Linked DNA regions of Oryctolagus cuniculus. The protein of the gene in region 2 purifies or fractionates together with the protein of the main gene of each other region. This does not show direct contact. Links are inferred from orthologs where the notes say so. Each region holds a gene or a part of one and is shown on either strand. Other genes may lie near its edges.

Region 1 (3,646 bases), on a different chromosome or scaffold from region 2:
TCTCACCTCTCCCTGAGTTACCCAGCTGCTCGGTGCCTCTCGTCCCCTCTTCGGTCCCCCTGCCTGATCCAGCGCACTGCAGGTGGACAGAACGGGCCAGGCCCTCCCTGCAGGGCTCCCCATGTCCGGCTTCCTGTTCCTCGCTGCCGCCAAGCCCTCTCCTGCCAGATCAGTCTTCCCCGAATCGCAGCCGAGTCATCTCGTGGGCAGCAGCTCATTCTCACTCCCCTCCCCATCTCAGAGATCGGGTCTGGACTTCCTCGGGCGGTGGTGGCCACCTCCACGTGGATCTGCGCACCGTTCTGCTCGCCCCTGTGCTAGTCCGCTTCTTAGTCCCACCCAGACCCGCAGTCCTGTGGGAATGGCCCTTCTCCCATCCCACCCGGGCTCCTTGGAATCACAAGCCCTGGCTGAGGCCCAGCCAGTCTTCCTTGGAATCACAAGCTCTGGCTGAGGCCCAGCAAGTCTGCGTTTGGTGCGCCCCCTGGTCGATTCTGACGCACGTGAAGCCTGGGACGCAGTACTCCAGCTCAGCCACAGGTGTCCCTCCCCTCACCATGCCACGTCTGCGTCTCTCTGCATCCACCACACTGGAAGCCTTGGGCACCCGGGCACATGCTAGCGCTCTCTTCCTATGGGGCTTTCATTCGGCATCTCTTGTATGCCAGACACTGGGTGCTGGAGACGTTAAAATCTATTCCTGCAGGCGAATCTCTGGGAGTAGGAAGTAGATGAACGAGTCCCTCAGGCAGGCGGAGAGGGTGGTGGGCAGTGCCTGATGATAGGCGGAAGGTCTCCTTCAGGGAGGATGAAAATGTCCTGAAACAAGATATGCTGATAGCTGCGTGATTTTGTGAATATGCTAAAGCCACTGAATTGTACATTTTAAGCAGGTGAGCTTTGTGGTATACAAATGATTATCTCAGGCTGTTCTTAAAAATCTGTTTCTGTCCTTGGAGTGTTTGTAGCCTGTTTTGGTACTTAATCCTACAGGACGACAGATTGTGGTTTTGTTTTTGAAAGGCATAGAGACCTAGAGAGATCTCCCCACACTGGTTCACTCCCCAAATGCCGGTAACAGCAAGTGTCCCAAGTGGTACCGTAAACGTGGTGCCAAATGCCCGCCCTGACGTGACCGTAGGTTCTTACTCTCCTCGGCCTCTGTGAGCCCCTGGGGAAGAGCAAGCGGGCGTGGCCTCCCTTGTTGCCCTCTGGAGCTGGCACTGAGCTGTGAGCTGGCGGCCTGTGGACGGCGTTTAGCGGACGCGCTCCAGGCTCCTTGGAATGCTGTATTTGGCAGAGTGAGGACATACTCAGCATTGAGGGCCCTAAAGGCCTGGGAGTGCAGAGGCGATGGTCTGAGAAGGAAGCATTACTTCCTGTACTCTCCTCTTCCCGCTGGGGCCCGTTCCTGAGCTTACTCAGGGAGGTCGCATCAGGCGGAATCACGTCCCAGAGCTTGGTTTTCAGCAGGTCTCAGGAAATTGGAAATCAGGTGATTTGGGAGATAGCGTTAGGCTCTGGCAGTTTGGAGAGTTAACTTGTAATATGTGGTAGGTCAGAAAGAGCTCTTTTTTTTTTTTTTTTAAGAATTACTTTATTTATTTGAAAAAGTTACAGAGAGACGTCTTCCATTCCGCTGATTCACTCCCCAAATGACCGCAACGGCTGGAGATGACCTGATCCGGAGCCAGGAGCCTCCTCGGGGTCTCCCATGCAGATGCAGGGGCCCAAGCACTTGGGCCATCTTCCACTGCTTTCCCAGGCCATAGCAGAGAGCGGGATCAGAATAGGAGCAGCCGGGCCTAGAACCAGTGCCCATATGGGAGGCCGGCGCTGCAGGCCAGGGCGTTAACCCACTGCGCCACAGCACCAGCCCCAGGAAGAGCTCCTTTCCTCCCGACTTTTTATCAGAGATCTGTTTGCTCCTTCGCGTCTTGACCGGTGATGCTCATGGCTGCGTTGGGCCCCTGACCAGTGCCTGAGGAGACAATGTGGTCTCTACCCAGTGCCGTGGTGGTGGTCTCAGACACCCAGGGTCAAACAGTTGGGGCGTCATCTTTAAATTATTGTCAAAAGCTTGTTAGCCTATTTAAAACAGTAGTGTCAGCTCTGCTAACTGACAGTGCCCACTGCCTAAGAGTTTGGTCGTTTTCTCTAGTGAAGACCTGGTGGCTGAAGCGCATTCTCTCTGCACCCAGCTGGAAAGCGCAATGCAGGACACCGTGAAGGAGCAGGACCAGAGTTTCATGGTAACAGCCCGTGCGAACCCAGCTGTCCAAGCCCTGTCTCCACGGCACAGGAGAGAAAGTGGGAGGGGCGGCTGGGTCACCCTCCACCTCAGCGTGTGTGTGTGGTTCTCTATGCGTGTCCTGTTCATACTGATAGGCGGCTGTTACTGAATGTGTGTAGGAACGTTGTGAGTGTTACCTTACTTAATCCTCGTGACGCAGAGTCCTGATGAGCAAGGGAGTATATCCCCGGAAGGCTTGCCCCACCCTGCCTTTGGGCCACTGCTGAACATCTGTGGTGGGGACCCTGCTCAGCTCTAGTGACAAAGCAGGAGCCTGTCGTGGTCCCACCCCTCAGACACTCAGAGCTTAGTGGCAGGCGGTATTAGTCCCGGGAACTAACCTGGAGAAAAACAAGATGTAAGGACAGTGCGACAAAGCTGAACTTGCCGCGAGGACCCAGAGGCATTCGTAGACCTCTGAGTCGCCTCCCAGCCTCCTGCAGGGGTTGTACGTTTTCCGAGGAGTCCGAGAGGACGGCAGCAGTCACCTCTGGTCTGTTGAGGTGTCCTCTCCGGTTCCTGGGCTTGCTGTGTCTCTCGCTGCACTGCTCCTGGGGCTGAACAGCTCACCTGCTCTTCGCCAGAGGACGTCTCCTCAGGCCGCTTGGGCCGGCCCTGCAGAGAGCGTCAAAATCAGGGCTGTGAGCTGCAAGTAGTGCGGCATCACCTTCCCAGTTTCTGTAGCACAGAATTGTGGGGCCTCTGAGCTCGTCCAGAGAACAGCCCTGTATGGCCTAGCTCGGGGTCCCTGCCGTCACAGGAGTGTTGCCAGCACAAGGGTTTAGGTGTACTCCCGCCCTGTGCTGGCTGCGTCCTCGGTGGTCTCGCTGGCGGCCGAGCGGGTAACAGGCCTGTTGCCTTTCAGACTCTTGACTGGAGCTGGTTACAGCCGGAGGAGGAGGAACAGAGCAGGCCGGAGCAGGCGGTGTGACCCACGTGGCGGCGGCTCTCCTGCAGCGGCTCCTGCCGTGCCGTGCCCAGGGCCCAGACAGGGCTGTCCCCTTCCCAGCCGCCGGGGCGCTCGCCTGCACCAAAGGCGTGGCCCTCAGCAAGCAGTGCCGGCCCGTCGTCTGCACACTGGAAGCCCTCATCCCAGAGGCCTGGCCAGCGCTGAGGCCTGTCTCGAGCACCCAGGGAAGCGAAGCCACAGCAGCTGCTTCCTCCACCATGAAGAAGGTGCTCAAGGTACAGTGTGCCCGGCACACCACAGGCGGTGCCTGCACGGGAACCTTTCGGAACAGTCTGGGCGGCACCTGGTGCGGGCCTGTCCCCTCCTGACCCCCACTCCGCCCCCGGCTCCAGAGGCCCGAGCCGCCTGTGCTCCATCACCTCACAGCTAGTGTCTCATCTGGA
Region 2 (3,746 bases):
AGCACACACTTTAAAGGGCACTCATTTGCTTCCAGTCAATGGTGGGAAAGACTGCTTCGGGACAAATTCTCAGGACTCTCAGCTCCTTAGGGATGGACTAACTGGCTGGTATTATTGACAAAAATGTCTTGAAGTTGGTAGAGTTTATGTTGGGAAATGAAGTTTATATTTAAAATTTTTATCTTTCCATTCCATTTTCCCTGAACTTCCTGAAGTCCCCTCATAGTCTCCTACTTTTAGGACATAGAAAACCTGACTCACATGTCCTTGCTGAGCCCCGTCGGGTGGGGTGCTCTAGGGAGTGTTTTGCACATGAGGGTGGAGACTGAGCCAGCTCAGGGAGCTGACCCTCAGAGTTCCCCAACAGGCAGACAAGTTCAGCCCCAGGAGCACCGCAAGTGGCCCAGTGCCACGGCTGGGTTTGTACCTCCCTCGGTCTCCCTCCAAAGCGCCTGGCACCTGTGCTGCCTTCCATGTTAGCCATCTTCACGTCCCCGCGCATTGCTGTGGTATCAGCCTGCTCCCAGCAGCTCTTCCGCATGATAAATCCCGTAGGGTTTAAACAACGAGGTTGTGGAAGATGCAGCCAGGGGCCCCAGGGCCTGAGCAGTGGGTTAGGCTGCTGCCAGTGATGCAGGCATCCCATATGACCACCAGTTCGCGTCCTGGCTGCTCCACTTCTGATCCAGCTCCCGGTTCATGTACCTGGGAAAGCAGTGGAAGATGGTCCAAGTACTTGGGGTTCCTGCCACCCACATGGAAGATCCTGATGGAGATCCAGTCTCCTGGCTTCAGCCTAGCGCAGTCCTGGCTGTTGCGGCCGTTTGGGGAAATAAATCAGCAGATGGAAGATAGAGAGCTCGCTCTCTGGCCTTCTCTCTGTAACTCTGCCTTTCAAACAAATAAATCTTTAAAAGAAAAAATGAAGAAAGAAGAAAAATGCCGCCAGGGGAGGACTCTGTGTGTGTGTGTGCCCGTGAGCAGTGTGGGAACACAGGCAGTGAGTCCCCCGTCCACGGTTATTGGAGCAAATGCTGGTGTTTTAAGCAGTCCCAGGAGACAGAAAGAAGCTCTAGCGACACACCCCTCCCCAGTATCTGCCCCATCTCCTCGGGTCCTGGAGACACCTTCTCAGGCCACGGCCCCTCCGTCACACCACGGGCCCCATATTCCTCCGCAGCCTCTTAGCTGGGTGGTGACATAAAAAAAAAAAAACACACACACACACCAAAAACGCAGCCTTATTGGCCACTGGCCCTCTCTAGTGAACGCAGGAGGTTTCTGTTTTAAGAAATAAAGTGACTCCTCGCCCGTTGATTCACTGCCCACAGGGAGATTTTGAGCCGAAGCTTCCTAGCCTCCGTAGAGATTTGCATACAACTTCCACTTCCGGCTTCAGATCCTGCTCTTCAACTTACCTGGGCCTGGGGAGGGCGGAGGGAGGCACCTGCCGCGGAGAACCTGGAGAGGCCGACGACCCTGGGGCCCCGGGCTGTCCGGCCGTGGCGGTTCTAAGGTAAGTTTACCCGGCTTTGCTGCGCGCCGGCCTGATTGCTTCACCACTGACCCATTTTCCAAAACGCTGTCTTTTCTCCTCTCTTGAAACGTTCCGCCTTCCTGGCCTCTGCCTACCGCCCCTGCCGGCCTTGAAACTTCACTTGTTCGTGCGGAGAGCGGCTGGGGCTGGGAAAATGACAGCTGACTCTGTGCTTCGGGAACGTGCCGCTGGTTTAGGGTTCCAGACGGGCCAGGCGCGATGAGCTGTTTGGGGGAGAGGAGGCACGCACGCCGGTACTTTTCAGAGCTGCCTGGGAACCATTTGTTTAGGTACTTGGTGTCCCCACAAGTTTCGAGCAAGAAATCAAGCCCCATTTCTCCGAGGAGGGAGCCAGGGATGGCAAGGATTAAGTCATTGGCTTCCAGCCTCAGAACACGTCAGCCAGCGGCAGCCTGGGAAGGAAAACTCCCAGATTTTCTCTATCCCAGTTTCCTGCGGGGGTGGGGGGGGTTTTAAAAAAAAATCAACATGACATTCTTGGGCCAGGAAGTTGCGAGCTGCCTCCCGGGCCTCTCCCCCGCAGCCCCCACCCGCCTCCCAAGCAGCGGTCCAGACCACTGCTGGCGCTAAAAGCAACCAGCGAAGGGGATAAATGCTAGTCCTTGACCTTAGAAGCTGATCAGGCTTCCTGGGAGTTTCAAGTTCAAGGTGGTCTTGTGGATTAGGAGGCTATTATTATTATTATTATTATTTTAAAGGAACTGGAGGAAAGAGGCCAAATAAATAATACAAAGGAAGACGAGAAAGTTGGTTTCAAGTTCTTGCTCCACTCCTTGGAGTGCCATGACTTAGGCAATTGATTTTGGCTCCTGGAGCCTGGATTTCTTCATAGTCAAGTGTTTGGGGGCAGGGCGGGTGGAGGGTGAACTCACCAGGTCTAAATTCTCTTCTAACAAAACAAGGGTAAGGTACTCCCGGAGGGGTAGCCGTAGTGGGTGGTCTTAGAAGATTGTTTTGTTCGCTGATAATTCACCTATATAAATTTTACGTCCTGCTACCAGTTCGTTAGCCCGTGGAGGAAAAGGACTTGGTTCCTTCGTACTTTTCTGCCCTCCCTGCACCCCTCCCCTCAAGCCAGCACCCATCAAAGGCCTCACAGGGGCTCTGCCTCCTCCTGACTTTCTGCTCTCCAGGCCAAAAGCTGGAGCGAGGCACGGGGGCCCAGGCAAGTCACCCGGGGCCCGGCTGCCTTGACTGTAGGCACCAGTGTTAGTTCTGGACAATAATGGAGAAAACCAGGGATTTCTTGAGTTAGTTCACATCCTATTTGGGTTACCCAGGAAGGAAGGATCGTCCCCACACATTTGCTACCAAAATCAACATGGGCCAGAGAACTGGCAGGCACCCCGGCTCCGGGAGCCAGCGTTGCCCGCTCCTCAGGAGCTGGAAACCACCCCTGCCCCAGCAGTCAGTGTGTGGGGGCCTTTAGCGGGATGGGAAGGAAACGGTGAGACACATGCTGACCCCTCGTGAGGGTGATGACTGTGACGAGATGCATCATTAGAGGGCGTGTACATGGACTTCTTAACCTTTTCCAAAGCACCACTGTGTTTTTTGCATGGCTGTTGCTTCCTTGGGATGATTACTCGCTGTCAGTCCAGGCTCTAGCTGATGGGTGGGGCTGGTGCAGGGCTTCAGAAAGGCTAACCTGTTTCTGTGGGGGGTATCAAGACCCTGCTGTGGCCTTTCTCTATCCCCCCACCACCATCCCGCGATGGGAGAAGCCAGCAATGGCAAGATATTTTCAATGCGATGAGTTCCTGGTTTTACTTTCAAGTAAGGACGCAGTATTTTCTGAAATCAGGCTAGTTGTTGGGTTGCCAGCCTAGCTTTGATCCACAAAAGCCACCCCAGTCTTTGTTCATGGGGGGAGAGGGGGGAGGTGGCATGGCACCGTTACTCTGCTGCGTGGGCTGCTGAGGCTGGGCATGGTACGCTCAAGTCGGGGAGAAAGATTCTTCACTCAGGGCTATGCATTTTCGGAGGGTGCTAAGATGGCAAGAGTTAATGGCTGCTTCTCCCAGGATCAAGGAGTTAGTGACTTTCAGATGCTCTGAAAATTAAAAGAGGAGGAGGAGGCAGTCATATTCGTGGGCGCTCTTTAATAGGCACTCAGAAAGATAGATCATGGCAAGGTAGTTTGTCTAAATTAAATCTACGTTTTGCCCCTCCCAGAATGGAAATCTCA

Evidence for each region. The genes of interacting proteins can lie anywhere in the genome.
Region 1: the proteins of TRAF3IP2 (region 2) and IKBKB purify together in Homo sapiens (affinity purification with western blotting; 3 studies listed by BioGRID, with this or other methods). This does not show direct contact. The link is inferred for Oryctolagus cuniculus from reciprocal best matches to the Homo sapiens genes TRAF3IP2 and IKBKB.

The regions. Positions count from the first base shown.
Region 1 is NC_091433.1:92,513,567-92,517,212, forward strand, and holds part of IKBKB (inhibitor of nuclear factor kappa-B kinase subunit beta), read left to right. Parts: intron 1-1,571; exon of another isoform or gene 1,572-2,161; coding exon 2,162-2,252; exon of another isoform or gene 2,253-2,908; intron 2,909-3,158; coding exon 3,159-3,224; 3' UTR 3,225-3,646.
Region 2 is NC_091436.1:59,984,071-59,987,816, forward strand, and holds the start of TRAF3IP2 (E3 ubiquitin ligase TRAF3IP2), read left to right. Parts: upstream 1-1,319; 5' UTR 1,320-1,516; intron 1,517-3,746. UniProt on the Homo sapiens protein: E3 ubiquitin ligase that catalyzes 'Lys-63'-linked polyubiquitination of target protein, enhancing protein-protein interaction and cell signaling. Transfers ubiquitin from E2 ubiquitin-conjugating enzyme UBE2V1-UBE2N to substrate protein.